4 linked regions of the Drosophila melanogaster genome follow. The protein of the gene in region 4 interacts with the protein of the main gene of each other region in a pairwise test. Each region holds a gene or a part of one and is shown on either strand. Other genes may lie near its edges.

Region 1 (5,804 bases), on a different chromosome or scaffold from region 4:
TAAGGGAACATCGAATTACAGGTAGAATTACATGACATAGACATGAATTTACAGATCAATTGTGTCTGGTTGACACTTTTGATAACTCTCAATTCAGAAGCGGATCGTTAAAGTCACGCAATATTACTATACTCAAAGTTGTTGCAGAAAGTGTTGCGGACAGTGCGGTACGTGTATTTCCATTTTCAACAATTCCCATTTTCAACTGTAATGAGGGTCGCTTTTTTCTGTTATTACGTGAAGTAGTAGTCATTAAAAGGCAAGAATGTCACAATTTGCTCCAATAAAAGTTATTGGCCAATAAACGAATAAAATAGTTACCCCAGACCCTAAGCATGATTGTTTTAAAGCTCTTTATTTATGATGAAGGACTTTCTTAAGTTAGGAATGATTCATAGGCAACATACAAAATACATGATATGATAATACGAGTAGAATAAGATATAAAGTAAGTTGTATGTAGATTTAATTGATCGAAATTATGCGCGCACGTCATGACATAAGTAATTTTCATTTCCGTTTTTTGAAAAATAGTCATCAAGACGTTTTTAATGATTTCTGTAAAGATTAAAACAACCATAGAGATGCATTTTTGCGATATAAAACTTATACTTAAGTTTTATTCAAGAACACTTTCACTTTTTCGCCAATCAATAATAAGCTATTTAAGTAATGTGTTAATGGAACTTAAAGAAATTCCTAGTAATTACTATCTTTAATTGAAAGTAAGATTTGTTGTTGGTAACAGGGTCAACTGCTGACCATTTCATACGATCCCACAGTGGGCCGATATCAAAATCAAGGCCCAAGGGTAGCAGACTCTCTCATAAGGAATGGTATTCGTATTTGTATTTGTTGCTCTGCTTCCAGATAAGATTGAAAAAGTGCCTATGAGCACCAAGAGATAAGGCACACTTTTGCTTTTGCGATAACGCACCATCGCAATTTCAGGCAATCAATTAATGAGCCAGCTGATATCGCCGATTCCCATTCCCTTTGGGCCAGCCAACGTCAGTTAGTTGGAGTTGGAATTCGATTCACAGCGGGTCGAGAGTTGTAGATCGGGTCGAGAAAAAAGAGCAAATAAATAAATAAAGAGCACAGTGGGCAGCACACAAGGTAACCAATCCATCGGTTCTTCTAAGCCCGTAAATCAACATACCAACGATATGTCTCAGACATCTGTATCTTAGGATCTGATGTCATGCCAGTGAAAGCAATAAATAAATCTCGAAACACGGCGGTAAATAATTGACCCACAATCACGGCCTAAAAATACGCGATTAACTCTTATATTCGAGTCCTTATGTAATAAGCTGCCATTAACGATTGCTTCATGAGCGAAGAATTTCCTGGCTTGTGATAACTGCAAAACAGAAATAAAGTAACGCCAGCAAACTGAAAAAGCAAAGCAATCGCAAACACAGTGCCAATTGCGTTTATCTAATCGGACAGGTAGCTACCACACAGGTGAAATAGGTACTCTCCTATGTACATATGTACACCTATGTACTTCTAAATGCAAAGGTATCTAATGGTAGCCATCTATCTGATTCGCATTGCCCATTGGGAATCAATAGTTTACCAGAACGCTTTGATTACACACCGCCGCAATGGTCAAAGCAGGCAATAGGACCCTGAAATACTTCCGACCCATTTCGGTCAAGTATGGGTAAATATCAAATATCAAGCGTGATAGACAGGAGGCTATCTCATAGATTGAAGCATTGCCAACACCTGTCTATCATATACCCGTATACTTAAAGTGCCACTTTGGAAATTTTCGGTGTTTTACTGTTTATGTTAGCATAACATTCAAACAAAGAGATCTTTTCGTCCTTGATCTGCATTTATAGTGTAAAAGATGCAGAACAAGATAGAAAATTCTTTACTATTGAACTATTAAAGTTTAACCTATTTTCCTTGTATTAAAAAGTGTAAGAGCAACTATTACTCATCGTCAATTACCTCTATGTCATGCATTAGTTGCAATGTAGTGTTATCAACAAAACAAAAAGAAGGGCAAAGAATTGCGCAGTTCATATTCTACAATATGTGCGCCTGAATGCCAAACTTTACATGGAAACAACCAATAAGTGATAAAAAAAAAAAAAACTATAGTTATTTGGAATGCCCATTTCCCTATTTCTCAGGATGCCACAAAACGGCTACGAAAATGGAGTCCCTGGCGGGAATCAGGCAAATGGGCACTACGACGAGGTCAAGCCCACCTATGCCCTGGAGCACTTGGCCACCTTTAAGCTGAAGAACGAGGCTGAGGTCAAGCAGCCGAAGGAGAAGATGAAGCTTCTGGTCGAATTGGAAAAGACCGGGGGCATTTGGCCGCACAAGATGTTCATGAGCTTCAATGGGCAGTGGCTGGTGATGCTGGACAGTGATATGAAGGAGATTGAGAACTTTCCGGGGAGCCTGATCACGGAGCCCACGGCTTTTATAAGCGATCATCCGCAGGAGTCATTCAACAATATCCTCATTTTCTCAGTGCCCGGAATCTCACTGGGCAATACCGAAATGCACATCTTCCAGGTGAGCAGCCACGATTTTTCAGCACTTTGAGATCTGTAATAATTAGATCATTAATAGGTGGCCGATGTCAGTTCCGTGCTCTTGGTTGAGGATCTAAAGACGGTGAGTTGAGTTGAATAAATAGATCCCCGATCTATATAATCCCAATACCACGATTTCTCAGCTAAGCAAGGGAACCCCTGTGACAGTGGATCGCAACAAGACGCCCATCCTGCTGCCCAAGCCGGAGAGGCCGCAGAACCAGCAGGCCAAGGATCAGTATGGAATAGCAGCTGCTGTGGCCGGAATAGCAGCCGAGAAGAATGCCATAGACAAGGAGCAGACCGAGAGGGATGTCCAGGTGATAAACCACTGCTTCGAGGACATCGAGCGGTTCATGGCCCGTCTTCATTATGCCGCCGAGGCGCTTAACGAGCTAAAGTTGCGCAAGGAACAGCATAATCCCCACGGTGAGGGACTTTTGGTCCTGAGATCGCGACCACCAATCGAGAGCGAGTTCCATGACATTTTGGCCAAGGCGAAACTGGCCCTTATATACTCCGTTCGGCTGCAGAACCAATTCACCAAGCCCGCCGATCCGGTGCACAATGTCTTCATATCGCTTAAATCCATCGTCACGGTTTGCAACGATATCTACGTGGATGCGGGTCTGCCGCAGGCGGTACTTAATCCCCTCCTGCGCCGTGAGACCATTGCCTTCCTCAATGGCACCCTCGACTCCAACGAGATGCAGCTGTGGCAGAGCCTCGGTCCCAACTGGACGGTTCCCAAGGATCAGTTCAAGGATCACAAGAGCTCTTATCATCCGATCTTCTACGACGATTGGTCTCCCGATTGGGTGGTCGATGAGGAGGTGCCGTACCTGGCTCCTGCTCTAAAAAAGAGCACAACGCCTTCGCCAGTGCCGGTTCCCATGCCCCCGAGTCCAGGTCTAGGAAATCGCACCTGGCTGAGTAGATTGGAGAGCCGAAATGTCAAGATCGCCGAGGTTACCTTCAATAAGTCGGCCACCAACGATAAGGAACTAAAGGTTACAAAGGGAGAGTATTTGGAGGTAAGTACCTAATAATAATCGAAAGGGGTTTTAATGTCAGTTCTTATCATTCAGATCTTTTAGCCAAATTTATCCCAATTTCAAGTTCCTTTAATTAAGATTTGCACAACATTTAAAACGACTTGCTTTTTTAATCGTTCGCTGACGTATGAATGTATGTAAGAGGCAATTATTTTGGGTTACAATACAGTTTTGTAAATATATAGGAATGTCCACGTGTGAGAACTGAATGATTTGAAATCTTATAAGGCACAGGTCTTTTACTTTTATATTAATCTTTTGTTTTGGAATGTTACTGATATAAAAAAGCTTTAGATAAGTATTGGTTGTGAAGATATGAAAATTCATTGCCGGTAATATATATGATTCAATAATTTTAAATTCAGGCATTTGAGATGTCTTACCAATGAGAGGTCAGTAACACTATATCAATACAAAAACTTTGAATGCAATTACTAAACATTGATTATATTTTTAACTTTATACCATGTTTACTATACATGGTACCAATCTTATCGATTCCCCAATTACGCGATCTTACCTTCATATCACCATGATAACAGACCTTATAATAACTATCATATAAATCGTCTGATTCCAAGATTATCGATGACTCCCGCAACTGGTGGAAGGCCCGTAACTCGTACGGAAACATTGGCTACGTGCCGCACACAGTGCTCACGCCGTACAACTTTGAGCCCGGAGTAAATGGCCGGGACACGGAGTCGCTGGCCTCAATGGCTTTGACGGAGAACGGCGGCGAGGAGGCCATTCCTCCTCCGCTGTACCGCAACACAATGGCCATGTATACCGCTCCCGTGGAGCAGCCGGCGGCCAATGGCAAGGCCATGCAGCGCACCTTCTCGATGCCCAACGTGCCCGTTCCACCACCGATGCCTCCACCGAGCGATAGCCAAACGCCCACGCCCAGTGGCACACTCAAACGCAACATGGCGGCGGCAGGAGCACTAGCAGGTGGGTACACTAGTAAATTAAAAAAAATAATACAATATAATAATGATATTTGTATTTATCTCATTCGCTTACCAGCCATGCGGGCCCGCAATGATTGCGAGGCAGATGATCAGCTCTACTACATGCAGGGCGACGTGCATGATGAACTGCGTCTACTGCAGCAGCAGCGAGAGAGGCGCAAGGACCTCGAGATCCTTAAGACGCCGGAAATCTTCATCACCCAGAATTCAAAGCCAAGCGAGGTGGAGGAGTGGCTGCGGGGCAAGGGATTCTCGGACATCATTATCAAACGATTGCACACGCTATCCGGCGAGGAGATCTTCGCCCTATCACCGCACACCATCGAAAGTTACTTTGGCCGGCGGGAGAGTCGCCGCCTCATTTCCCAGATCGTGCTGCAAAAGAATTTCTGCGAGGTGAGTTCTTGGACATATCCTCACCTTATCTAATCTAATCGAATCCATTCCAATATCCAATTTTGCAGTACAAAACCATTCGATCATCGGAGCTTTCTGCCAAACTGGCACGTGCTCGCCAAAAGGCCGATCAGTCCAATGGCAATCCCAACGAGGTCTTCTAAGACTCCCAGTATCCCGAGTTTTTTAGCCGGAGACCAGAGAGACAAAAATGCTTCAGATGCCATTAATTTATTTATGTGTAATAATCCTTCATTTATGTTAAACAGTGTTCATACGTATATTAAAAAAAAAAAAAGACAAAAATGGGTTTGATTTATATGCATTTAGTGTTAACATCTCGAATTGATTATAAATGTAATATAGATACTTTATTTAAACACAAATATTTATGAAGTGAAGAAATCATATGATTTCCTGTTTAGAAACTTAACTTCCCTAAACTCAAAAGTGGTATGGCATGATTAATTAGGCAAGAATATGTTTATCATTACAGGAAACTTTGAGAACTGGTTATGGAACAGTCCTAATGAAACGCTTATTGGTTAACCCAGATACCTTATATGTCGAACTCCAGTTCGAATTGCAGACTTCAATCAAAAGACTTACGAAATAGCCGAAATGAATTGGTTTTTTCAATAAACACGATGTTCAATGTTATGAAGAAGTAATAGACGTCGATTAAGAGTAATAAGTGATAATCTTCATAAATTCTGCTTCGTGAGTGCATCCTAAAAGTCAAGTAAGTGGGCGTTTCAAACCGGTAGGGGCGTGGCGTGTTATTTACCTTTTTTGTGAACACATTGCGGGGG
Region 2 (5,187 bases), on a different chromosome or scaffold from region 4:
ACACGAACTGCAACATGGCGGAAAGAAGAGCTGGCACGACATGTACAAGGACTCAGCCTGGATTTTCGTCGCAGGATTTCCGTATACCCTAACTGAGGGCGACTTGGTTTGCGTATTCTCGCAGTACGGCGAAGTGGTCAACATCAATCTAATTCGAGATTCAAAAACGGGAAAGTCCAAGGTAATGCTTAGTTACCCTTTCAAGAAAGTTCCTGAAATCATTGTTTAAACTTGTCCAGGGCTTCTGCTTCCTGTGCTACGAGGACCAGAGATCCACAGTGCTGGCCGTGGACAACCTGAATGGCATCAAGATCCTCGATAGGACACTAAGGGTCGATCACGTGGCCGACTACAAGCCTCCCAAGGAAAACGAGAAGATGGACGAGGAAACCCTTCGCCTTTACATGGAGGGCTGTGCGCCGAAACCTCAACTTCAGCACATCAAGACTGAGAAGAAAGACAGCAAAAATTATAGATGATAAGATAAGGTTAGCTTAAACATAGCAAAGCATGCAAACAGAATTTTTATATTAACTTAAATTTTTTAGTTATTAAACGCTAAATTATACTACTACATTCTTTTTTAAAGCCAGTAATTTAAGGTGCAAGAATGAATTGGCTTTCCAACCTCTCATTCGCCATCAGCGCTCGCAAAGGAGTCGTCATCATCATCATCATCCTCATCCTCTTCTTCCTGACCCTCCAGTTCCTTCAGAATCCTTCGCTTGTAGCGCTCATAGGCGCTGCCCCTCTCCCGGTCGACATTGTAAAAGTCCACGTCGTCCACAAACGAGTCTTCCTCAGTGTCGATCGTGTGCACGTAGGGATCGCGAAAGGTGGCATAGTCATCATCATCGCTGGTGCTGGCAAACTCATCCTCGTCATCATCTGGAAGAAGAAGCATATGCATATTCATAAGCGGAATCTATGCAAACAGTTAACACAGATCTTACCGAGCATAAACTTGTTCATTTGCCGGCACAACTCATCATCCGAACCCATGGCGCCCGCTTCGTCGTCGTCCGGGTAATCATTGGTAAAGTAGTTCTCCTGGTTCGAGTCCTCCGAGTCGTAGTCCTCGTCCTGGTCGTTGTAGCAATCTTCTAGGACAATCTCGCCCACAGGAATCACACTGCAGAATAGGCGAAACAATTAGTGAGTTTATTTCGATTCTTTGATCACGCAGCATTTTTAAATTGAAACACAACAAAGTTTGTCACGTATTTTGAGAGTTTCTTTATTTAGTTTATATTCGATTTCGGGCAACGCTAGGCCCCAACAGATATAAAGCAAAACAAACTAAGACTATGCACTTAATTAGACTTCAGCACTAGTGTTATCCGTTTTTTTTTGTTTATTGTCGGAATGGAAAAAGAACCAAAAAGGCAACTGACAACTGGCGGAAACTAAACGAAAAATGCTCGGTGAGCTGTTTTTCAAAAAAATGCGGTGTGTGTGTGTTCGTGTGTGGGGGTAAATTATTCTAATCTAATAGCTAATTAATTCTATGAACATAAGGTAATGAGAGACATTTGCCTAAAACGATTCCAAATAGTACACTAATTGTGCGTTTTTAGCAGGATACATCTTATTTTTATTAAAAACTTTGGCAAGAGGGAACTTTATGGGAACTTTACATAACTATGATACATTATTTAAACTAAGAAGTTTAGATCTAACATATTTTTTAAATGGAATATGGCATAACATAGTTGTGTTAGAATTGAACGAAATCTCACAGTAACAAATCAAATAAATAGCTTCCAGAATCATTCGTTTTCAGATCATGCCGTGTTTACTCATAAAAACAATGTTTTATCGTTAGTTTTGGGCATTTGTCAAATGTGCTGACTGCAATGAACTGTAAGTGATGTGAGTTGCCAGTTGCAGTCCTTTTTTTTATTGTCGTGGGTGGGGCATTGGGTGTCTCCTGTCCTCACACTTCCTAAGTGCCTGCGACTTTGTCTGTCTCTCTCCATTTAGTTTATTTCTTGTTTACCAGTAGCAGTTGTTGTAGTAATTAAACGGATAATACAACCTTATGGAGAACGAACGAATCGTATTATTGAGCTGTAGTGATTGCAATCGTGTCTAGATGATAAGGATAATATGCAAGTATGAGACTGCGCCCGAGGACAACGAACACAGACACACGCACACCCACACCCACACAGATACGCCCATAGCACCGACACACAGACACACCGCTTAGATATATATATTCCATATAGTACATAAGTGTAGTGGTGATCGATTACATATAGTAATTGGTAATGCTCAACGTTTTCTGTGGCTCAACTTGAATGACAAACCTTAAGTAGTTGTCGTCCATCATGTCCACATATGCCGCCTGCATCTCGTTCTCGGGAACATATAGATCGTAGACATAGCCCACGTCCGAATCGGCCGGCTGCTGCTGATCCTGGCTGGGTGCTATCTCCTGCTGCTGCTGCTCCTCAGCTGCTGCACTTGCAGTGCCCATGTGCTGTTGCTGTTGCGATTCAATGTCCACGATGGTTATGTGGCTGCTGGACTCATGACTCTGGCTCTCCGGGCATTCCGCTTCTGCGGCACTGTTTTCGAGCGTGCTGCGCAGGCAGTTTACGACCCGGAAACGCTGCTCCCTTGAGTTCTCCTGAGCCTCCTGCCGCTGGCGATCTCTGCGCAGCGCACTAGCAATGGCTGCATCATTGGAGCGCTGCTGTTGCACCAGATCACGGGCTGCGGCCTTGTTGAGCCTGGCAGCGGCGAATTTACGAGTGGCACAGTCGTCCTGCGAAAGAGGCATACAAATTAATAAATCAATTTTAGATTCATTAGATCTTTGGATCATTAGTCAAAATTACCAATAACCAAACTAGAGCTATCTTTTATTAAGTTCCCACTATTTATTGCGGCTGTAAAATGGGAATTTGCTATGATAAATGTGCATTCACTTTACAGATAACAGGCCAGCACCTTTAACTAAGGTTAAAGATCACTACTAACTGATAAGTATTATTAAAATTGCACACATATATGTGTTACCTTAGATTAGCTATTTGTAAGAATCATTAAAGAAAAAACAAATCAGTTCAATGAGTGCATTTTTGCAGAGTTTGCTAGCCCATATCGTTTTGCATCTCAAAGATGAGGACGTTGACCTTTTTATAAGCAGCACTAAAAGAACCAACAGCGTGCATTCGAGCCACAGCAATATATAGAAAGTAGTGGCCACCAAGGGCATGTGAATTATATCTACGTTTGCTTCTCTAAGCCCCCAATCCCACCTGCTTTTCCAGCGTGCCGGCAAACTTGAGCACGGTGGTCAGTTCGTCTTTGTCTGATGCCACCGCTCCCGCCACCGCTCCCGCCACCGCTCCCGCGTCCTCCAGGGCGTTCTCATCGTTGTGGAGGCGCCGCCGCTTGCCGTTTAGCACAAATGCCGTCTGAGGCTCCTCGTCGATGCGTCGCTTGATTCGCACAACCGCTGGCATTTTGATTAATTCGGAGAATACGACAAACAACGAAAGGCGAAGCGAAACAATTAAAAGTGTGCGACGCGCAGTGTGACCGTTCGGGGCATGCCAAAATATATCTGCAACTCTGGAATTTCATCAATACAAATTTTAGAGATGGAATTGGTTGAGACTGCGAAACTATCGTGACGAATCCTTAAATCGTAGAGCCAGTAAACTAAATTTCACGATTTAATTGTGAATTATTAATTGTGATTTAATCTGTTGATAATCATTCAAAATAATATACGACAAGAAAAGATTGGCAGGTTTGGCAGTGGCAGTAGTAGGTAGTTGGCACTATCAATCATTTTTTTTTCTATATTTCTATATAATGTAAACTGTAACTGTTTTGCATTGAGTATTTTGCATTTATTGAGTATTTTGAATTTATTGAGTATTTTGTATTTATACAGGAAGTAACTATGTTCGACAGTTTTGAATGCCCGCCAATTTCGAATACTTTTCATCCCCGTTTCCGGCACTTCCGGTGCTTCTACCCCCAATCAGCTGATCGAAAGCCGACACTCCGGGGATGAAGTCCCCAAAAGAAGTTGAAGCTCGCAGGAATGGCAGTTAGTGCTCTTAGCCGGCGAAGTGTGGTTGACATAGCGGGTGGTTTCCGTGCTCCAGACTTCCGGCCTAAATCAGCCGTCGGAATTACGTTCATAAAAGTGAAATGTTGGCCAGAAGCGGCGACTTCGGCTTCCTTGTGTTTTTAATCAACGCCAGCAGTGCCACAAGATTAAAGTGAGCTCAGCCTCGGATTGAATTGATGCCATTAAACCGTGAATGGCGCCCAAGTGTTTTCGCTTTTCCGCCCGCGCTTTTTGCCATTTGTTGCGGTGCCTCGATGGACGTGTGTGTGTGTGTATGTGTGTGTGTGTGCCGCTATTCTCGTCCTGCCAAAATGAAACTCGTATAGGCCCGAGAATGATTTAGTGCCCGATCGCAATCCGCGAATGCCGCAATTATGTTTTAATTGGCGCTAAATGGTTTACTCACACGCGCACGCACGAAAGGATTAGCAGCAGGAGTCGAAATTTCTTCGCAAAGGTGGGTTGTTTGTGGCTGCTACCGCCGGATTGGATTTAACCCTGTTGATTTTGGCAAATTGGAAATGTAGTGAACAAATTGGGAACGGAAAAATAAGCAGTCAATCGGTCATATTGGTTTGGTTTTTAGTTTAGAATGTTGATGTTAGCTAACATAATTATTAACAAGGGATTGGTAAAAAGGAATTGGCTGACAGGAGGTGAAGTTGAGTTACAATTTAGCTGTCTTAAGTCTTTGAAAATCTGGTCTGCAATTGAAATCCTTTGAAGGACACGGTCAACTTGCATTGTTAGAATTTGCGACATTTAAAGAGCATCCTGATGATGACAGAGGTTTGTGTTGACACAAAGTGGGTATACCAAACGGCAAATAAAAATCAAGGACACGGACTTAATTAATAAAATGTTTCATGGCGAAAGCGTTGCAGGAGTTATGTGGCTCGTGATTTTTCCACAATTTCCCAAATAACGCTAGAAAGGTTGCCCGTTCGTGGCAAATATTTATTTAATTCCGCAGAGCACCTGGCCGTGTGGACTCTTCGCGCTTTGTTCATCCGATGCGGAAGTCTTAGTGCCTATAAAAATATTTACGAGTGAATATTACAGCCTCTGAACTGGGCCCTTTGACCCGGGGA
Region 3 (3,794 bases), on a different chromosome or scaffold from region 4:
GGGCTGATGCAATTTTGCAGTTATAACTATGACTTCATACTTTGCTTTTTAGCAAGTCCAGAGATCAGCTGGGAATATATATTGTACATATATACTAAATTATTTTAGAATCAAGTTCACTGACCCCAAACGGTTATTTCGGAAGTTTAGGAACAAATGTAAATTTTGTTTTAACTTCATTTTATAGTGTAACATAAAAAATCATCGCCCAAAACCGGCTGGGGTTAAGGGCCGCTTAGAACTTTCAGATTCCAAAAACCATAGATTATTCAGCCTACTTATTAGAAGTTGTTGACTGCGTCCCAAAAAAATCTAGATATTAGAATGCTTTCGGCTGGTAAGTCAATTAGTCCGTCGTCTAATAGGCTTTGCGGCTTAATGGAACGCTTTTTGCCTCATTGTGTTACCCCTTTTCTTTGCGTATACGTAATATGAGTGCTGGAAATATCCGGCATACCCCGATGCTACCCCCTCTTTCGACCAACAAACTGACCATGAATATTTTCGCTTTTGTTTGCCGACCATATAAACACGTTTTCGATTGTTTCGCCGTTTTCTTTTCTTTCCATTTATTGCCTTTTTAACTGGGTTGGATTTTGCATTCCCCGATTTTCTGCTTAATTTTCACGCCAAATGAAAAGCGTGAGAACCGCGAACATACATAATATTCATTAGCGAATTATAGATTGGGTTTGGTTTTCAGTTCTAAATTTTCAGACTTCGCAAATTAAATGCGAATAAATAAATATTTAAGCAATCAATCCAGATGCCACTTGCATATTAATTGTATTGTTTTTCGTTGTATTTTGTTTGCCATCTGAGAGAGAAAGAGAGATTTCCAAGTGGCCTACAATCGCGATGATAATGATACTGAAAATGATGATCGTGATAATGATGTCGCAGAGCAACTTTCTCAGTTTATTTTTTTTCCCCCTATTAGCATCACAATTAAATGTTTTTTATTAATTTCGTAGCGCGAAACTGAAAATTAGTATTGGCGATATGCGCCGATATTATATAAGTGAGAATATCGATTAGGTATGAATGAACACGGTAATTTCCCCGATAATTTCGATAGCTGCGAACAGATCAGGTCGCTTTCATTATTCAATTTGTATTAACTTTCGTTCGTTGTTGTCGTCTGGCTGGCGGCTAGAAAAATGTATGCATCGCATTTCAATAATAATGAAAACAAAAGTTAAAACAAATAAAACAACCGCTAGTTTCGGTGCGATGGAGAAAGGGCGAGGAGGGGGGCTAGTGTGGATAGAGCGGGATAGTGAGATTCCGTCGAACGGTGATTGCAAGAAAATGACATTTTACAGTTGCCCCCAAACACCCTACACTCACCTGCGTTTTGGAGCATCTCGGTTTTATGACACCGTTGGCAGCGCTCCATCGAAAAACCTAGAACTACAAAGTATTACTCATACATTCGCGAATTAATAATCCTTTTTATATCATACATTATGATATCCTTATTATATAAGGCATTATTGTTAATAATTATATAAAAATATGGAATATTATGATCACTCTTTTCTTTAGGATATCAGTACTAGGGTCCAGTGCAGAGACGTCAGAAACTGATAAAAATTCGAAGATATTTATTAATTTTTTTTAGAAAGAAACGCATGATGCAGAGTGGGAGATTCCACGCTGCGTAACAGAATGGAAACTTTATATTAATTTTATCAATTTACAAGAACTCATGCAGATAGCTTGTATGCAAGTTCTTTAAAGATTAACAAATTAATCGGAGAATAAAAATATTAGTAACATAATGAATAAGGTAATAATGGCAAAAAGAAATCCATTATTAATTTGCTAAAAGAAAGGTATACACGCACAAAGGGCATTTGAAGGTCGGCGCAGGGCAAGGTGTCATCCATTTCACCCGAGGGCTCCGTAGGTCAAGATGCTTGTCGTCGCCAGCATTGGCTGTTGTATATAAATTTTGACAAAAGAAAGACTTCGGTTTAAACCAATTTTGGCAAGGCGGCGACCATAAGGTGATGACCACTCGACGCGACGACATGGCATGGATTAGCGGCCGTTCCCACCTGCTGGTGCCTGTGATCTTGGTGCTGTTAATACCGTTGGTCGCGGGCTTCGGCAACGAGTATGTCCACATCAAGGTGCATGTGCCCAAAGAGGAGTCAGCGGCGGAGGAGTCGCCACACAAGGTGATCCACCACTACCACCACCATCCGCATCCGCATCAGTTATACCGCAATCGGGGACGAGCCCGTCCCAAGCCCAGTCCACTGCTGGAGAGCGTAATCCTCTCGGATCTGGACAAGCCGCTGCACATGAGCGAGCATGCGGACTATCTGAATCACGCCAAGGAGCTGGCCGACCACCTCACGGAGACGTATGCCAAAAAGGCAGCTCCTCCGCCGCCGCCGCCGCCCAAGAAGAAGGTCAACACTTATACGATCATTGAGGAGCAGCACAGACCACATGGCTACGACTACGAGGATCACCATGAGCCCAGTGTGGAGACTTATCGAGTGATTGAATCGCGACCCAAGCAGCAGCACCATCATCACACTCATACTCACCATCCGGTTGAGGAGGAGGAGGTGGACGACGATTATGGATATCACTATCCGAGCGGGGGAAATCATCATCATCATCATCATCATCAGACTGGCGCCTATGCGGAACCCGCACCAGTGGAGGAGCACATCGACCAGGAGCCGGATACGGGCTATAAGTATTCGCCACACAGTCACGCCTACATCCCGCCCAGCCACGGTCAGGCCCAGCGGAGCTCCAAGCAAACCAGAGCGCCAGCGTACACTCTCGAAGCTCCGCAGGAATCCTCCTTCGGATACGATTACTCGCGACCCTCGGCCGGAAGTAGCACTGACTTCCGGCCATCCGTCCAGGTGCCATCCAGTGACCCGTACGGCGAGGAGGAACCGGCGGACACCTATGGACCACCGCTTACGGCCACAAGGCGTCGCCGGCCATCGCAATCCCTGGTGGATTGGCCCGAGTCCAAGGGATTCAACAGTGCCGCGTCCGAAACATACAGTGGCGTCGATAGCTACAACGTGGGTCATGTTCAGGGCTATGGATCCAGTAGCTATCACCAGTACAGTGGTGGGCCCTATCTGTAGGCGTTCCAACACCCCGTCTAATCTAAGATCTATTTATTGCACTTTTTTTTTCCTAGCTTCGTAAGTCGATAGTCAGTTTTCAGATTTAAGCGATAAATAAATAAATGTTTGTAAACACTTAAAGAAATGTTATTCAATTTCTAGGAATCAAGTTGTTAGAAGTAATAAACAAAAGGTTAACTTATTTGTTTATTTATTTATTTGTTTCAACTCAATCCTAGCAGTTGGAAAGCACCAAGACCACTTGAAAATTATAATGTAATAAAAACGCAAATTTGAATAGTTGAAGTAATAAAAAAAAGAGACTGTCTAATTAGTATGCATATTATGATCTTGAATTCTCAAATTAGTTTATTTAAACACTAAAATCTAATATTCTAATGGTGCAAGAGTAAAATGCACTCATTTTTGTTATTGACTTCAACTTTGGATACCAACCGGTTCACTTGGCAATGGGAATTTAAGTATACTACTTAGTGCAATTATCCTAAGTCTTGATTCTATCTATAAAACGTATAATATATTTACATTCTGATTATTTATTATTATTTCAAATACGGAAATCGTGTTTGGTACATTCATACATGGACTACTGTTCTCAGTGTTTTTGAGGAAGTCAGTTAGGCTAATGGATTTCTCAGTTGTTTGTTGGCCCATTTAAAGGGA
Region 4 (4,197 bases):
GCCAGCTCAATGGTGCGCATCGTTCCCGTGAGATTGGTGCGAATGGCGGTGCGCAGCGGGGAGCTGAACTTGATGGTGGCTGCACTGTGGTAGATCACATTGACCCGATCGATCAGCTCCTGCAGGAGCTCGGGGCCAAAGCCAAAGTTTGGTTCGCTCAGTTCGCCAACCACTGGGACCACCTTGGACAGAGTCTTCTCCGAGTATTTCTCGAAAATCTGTAATTAAATCATAATTTATATTTGCAATATTAAACAAACATTTTATTGAATATAATCTCATGCATCTTAAACTTTTGATAACTCTAACTAAAAGGATATGGTCATTAATTGGTAGCATTAAAAGCTTCGAGCTATAAGTGATTTTATGACTTGCAGAAGCGGCGAATAAGAGTTTTATATATTGTACATATGTATTCGATATTTTTAAACCAGTTGGAGACCTATTTTTTCTCCTCTAAAGACGGATGTTGAAAATTAATTTCACTACTGTTCGGAGGTTGGCTTGCTAACCATACACGCCCACATTATGGCCAACAAATTATGATTGTTAGCGATGAGTGCTTTTTTCGGTACTTTTACCTTTTTGGGCAACACTCGTAAGTAAGCAATTTTCAAAGCAAACAACATATGATGTTAGCTTCTTTTTGTTGTGCCATTAAAAATGCGTTTAAAAATAAAATAAATTAACGAGTTGTGAAGAGGGCCTAACAAAAGTTGGGGAAAAAACAAAAGACTTTTTGTTGGACCGAAAATTTAAGCACTCTCTAAATATAATTTATATGATTTCAAGGCATTATTTGTACAAACTTATTTTGATTGTAAAAAATGCTTTATGAAAAGATTGCTTGAGCTTAACAATTAAATAAGATAATAATTAGGTTATTTCAAAATTTGTAATTATAGTAAATAACAATTTAAATATTTTCAAAAATCCCAAAAGAGTATTGCACACTTGTGGTTAAAAAAAAAAATGAAAAGAAAAGAAAATGAAAGCCCCATGGAACGCGGCGGAAGAGGTCGGCCAGGTTACGACTTTGACAAATTAACGCTCCATAAAGAGACTCGTAATTGGCTTTAATTATATACCTTGCAGACGGCGCGTCGTGTCAGAGGGCGTGGCCGGTTGCCGCCCCCCTTCGACCGGTCAAAACAATCTAAAACAAATGCCACCAGACTTACCGGCTTTTGGAGCAGGCGACGAATCCGCTCGTTCGGATCAAACTTGCGCTTGCCCCGGACCAAAACGTAGATGGTTCCAATGTCGGGATGTGTGTCCAGCAGAGCCTCGATAAGAACGGTGCCCAGGAATCCAGTGCCGCCGGTGACAAAGATGTTCTTGTGGGCAAAGAACTCCGGTATGGTCAGCGAGGTGCTCAACTGATGGCCATTGACCCGGTGTTTTCCGTTTCCGATGCTATTGTTGTTTTCCGGGGGAGAGGAGGTGGTGCCGCCATGTTCCGTGATGACAGCCATGGTGTAGGGCTCAAGATTCGTCGGCGGCGCCAATTTGCTGCTGAGATTCGAAGACGGTGCGGCAAGCTGTGGCAAAGAAATAAGAAAAGGAAACGCGCCGTGACATCGGTTAGTTCAAGTTCATTAGTCCAACTGGATCGCTGCGATTATGAAACCAAAGCCGGCGATCGAAGAGCGAATCGAAAAAAAAAACCAGACAAACTTCTCAGTGTGTCAAGTTTAGCCAGCGGCGGAAGTGCATCATAAATCTGCTATCAAAATTCGATGGAAGTGGAGTGCGCGATGCGGAAGGCAGACAACCTCCAACGAAGATAAATGCTGCATATTTAAGCTTTCCACACTTTCCCATTTGGGTGTGAAACCTAATGGATAGTTACTTCAAAGGTTAACCGCTTATGTGGTCAGGAAACCTTTTAATGAATACATATTTTGTGCATTTTCAAAGATTGTTTCTAGTATTGGATTAACGTAATGTTAAACGCCAAGTAGGTCATGAGTACCACCTCTATTTTTTGAGTTCAACTGGGATAGCATTGCCTTTTACTTCCTGGGAAAAAATCATCAGCGTTCTCATAATATTCCCAGTTTGCGAAGCGTTCAGTTCACAAAATTTCGGTCTTTAATTTTTGGAGTTAAAAATTTGTAGCTAACAAAATTGAAAATTCAAAAATTCAGTTCGGAGTTTTATTTTCAGACAACACCCTCTCGTGCACGCATCAAAATTTTTAGTTCTGAAAAGGGAGTTCAATCCAAGACGAGTCAATAGCAAGATGAATACCACTTTTAAAATGGCTCGAACGAGCCTGAATCATTCTTGGCGGTTTGTTAGTAACAAAGCCAAGGGGCAATTTTCCAGTTTGCGACGATTACCAGCAGTTACCAGCCAAAATCGTCGCTACGCAGACCGATATACCTTCGACGACCAGACTCAAGCACAAATCCAGGGCATCAAGAAGATGAAAGAGATGTCCGCGGTGCCCCGGGAGTCTCCTTGGCGTGACAGCGAATGGTCTCCCGATTTTCCCGAGCGTTTGGATGAGTTGGGCTACGAGTCCCACTGCAACGATCGCCTCTATATAGCCAAGAACAAAATCCGTCACGAGCAACAAAAATATGAATTGGAACGTGAAGAGCGTCGCAAGCAGGCCCAACGAAGAATCAATAGTCACTTCGCTAAAGGTCAGGCAGAACCGGACTTATTGCGCCGGCGTACCATCTCACAGGATCCGGCCGATCACCAAAGGCGTCAGGAGGCGATTATCGAACAGAATCGCCGTCGATGGCAAAATCGTCCGGAATCTAGGAGGGAAACTAATACCTCCGGCATTACCTATCGTCCGGTTAAGCGAAAGGAAACGTATATTGAGGAGGATATGCAAAGGGAATCGGAGGACTACCAGCGCCAAAGACGCAATACAGAGAGCTCAGAGGAAGCTCAAGACAGCCAGACAGTGGTTTACGATTCCAATCGTCCCACTGCCGATTGGTTGAGGAAGCGCCAGGAGGAGAGCGAGGCGGAGCACTGGCATTCGTGGCACACATGCCCATGCTCCCGGGAGTCGGAGACCACAGAGGAGGTGAAGCCACATTTGAAGCGCAAGAAGGTGGTTGGCATTCCGCCTGCATATCCAAGGGATTACCAACGACGCGGCTACCATCAGATATCCCCACCTGTGTATGCACTGAAAGCCAAGACTATAGTGATGATACCAAAGCGGCGACCATCTGGCATCGATAAGCAGTACCACAAGTTTGCCATGAAACAGGTGGCTCTATGGCAACAGGACTTCGACGCGATCCAGGACAACGGGCAACCACTTCAGATGCCAGGGCTGGTGCCCAAGAAGGAGGAAGAGAAGAAGCCCAAGAGGAAGGAGGAGCGTCGATCCGTGGAACCGCCCCGTTTCCGAATGGTCGTCAAGAGCCGTGCTCCCGCTAGCCGTCCCTCTACTCCCGTATTCAATTACTCCGGCCAGATGGATATGCCGCCCGCCATCGCCGGACCCAGTGCCTACATGGGATCTCATCGCAAATCTAATGGCGAATCCTGGCGCAACTTCTTAAGGGCCAGCAGCTCATAAATGGAGCTCATTTTACTATAGCGTTGTGAATTGCCTTTTTATCCAGAGTTAATATTTGAAAATGAATACTTGCTGAGCTCCTGGCAGAGTTCTGGGATATTATAGTAAAATTTAATATAATTGACGTTGAACGAATTCTATTAACGAATCAGTGAATCATAGTTGGGGGTTGTAGTAAGAAAATTCCACTCGGGAATCTACAAAAAACCGACATATTTCAACAGTCAGCAAACCAATCGATGTAGTAAGTGTTATGGACAAAATGTAGCAAATGAGCAACGTGCTTTTTATAAGTCAAGTAATTAATTCCGACTAGTAATGGCAATTAAAGTTGACGCGTGTAACTGCTGCTTTTGACGTGATAAAGTAGGGGTTCCCATATTTATGGAATAGTTTAGATAACTTCTATTACTCGTAATAGAATGTACCTTTACTTATCCCAGCACTACATTCCAACACTAAACTGAAACGTTGACTAGCACTGGGAACAAAACCAACTACAAAATTCGAGAGCTAATTAACCCTTTCAACTTTCCCACACTTAAGGCCCATTAACCTTTTACTTTAATCACCAAGTGGATTAGAGTGGCTAAGCTTACGTTAATTAATACCCCCAAACTTTCAACTTGTCACACTGCCAC

The links.
Region 1: the proteins of CG5089 (region 4) and CG8907 interact in a two-hybrid assay, tested with the Drosophila melanogaster proteins (one large-scale study listed by BioGRID).
Region 2: the proteins of CG5089 (region 4) and fs(2)ltoPP43 interact in a two-hybrid assay, tested with the Drosophila melanogaster proteins (one large-scale study listed by BioGRID).
Region 3: the proteins of CG5089 (region 4) and CG15370 interact in a two-hybrid assay, tested with the Drosophila melanogaster proteins (one large-scale study listed by BioGRID).

Annotation. Positions count from the first base shown.
Region 1 is NT_033777.3:17,007,257-17,013,060, forward strand, and holds CG8907 (uncharacterized protein), read left to right. Parts: upstream 1-1,573; 5' UTR 1,574-1,613; coding exon 1,614-1,672; intron 1,673-2,153; coding exon 2,154-2,547; intron 2,548-2,604; coding exon 2,605-2,649; intron 2,650-2,710; coding exon 2,711-3,601; intron 3,602-4,203; coding exon 4,204-4,576; intron 4,577-4,651; coding exon 4,652-4,992; intron 4,993-5,060; coding exon 5,061-5,156; 3' UTR 5,157-5,277; downstream 5,278-5,804.
Region 2 is NT_033779.5:19,792,271-19,797,457, forward strand, and holds fs(2)ltoPP43 (female sterile (2) ltoPP43), read right to left. Parts: upstream 3,582-5,187; 5' UTR 3,477-3,581; coding exon 3,270-3,476; intron 2,774-3,269; coding exon 2,313-2,773; coding exon of another isoform or gene 2,255-2,312; exon of another isoform or gene 2,039-2,254; coding exon of another isoform or gene 1,996-2,038; exon of another isoform or gene 1,216-1,995; intron 1,133-1,215; coding exon 954-1,132; intron 889-953; coding exon 632-888; 3' UTR 503-631; downstream 1-502. Other genes in the region: CG10466 (uncharacterized protein), read left to right, coding at 1-181, 240-479.
Region 3 is NC_004354.4:9,223,441-9,227,234, forward strand, and holds CG15370 (uncharacterized protein), read left to right. Parts: upstream 1-1,996; 5' UTR 1,997-2,015; coding exon 2,016-3,128; 3' UTR 3,129-3,248; downstream 3,249-3,794.
Region 4 is NT_033778.4:16,596,723-16,600,919, forward strand, and holds CG5089 (uncharacterized protein), read left to right. Parts: upstream 1-2,025; 5' UTR 2,026-2,245; coding exon 2,246-3,556; 3' UTR 3,557-3,689; downstream 3,690-4,197. Other genes in the region: CG8303 (uncharacterized protein), read right to left, coding at 1-218, 1,182-1,475.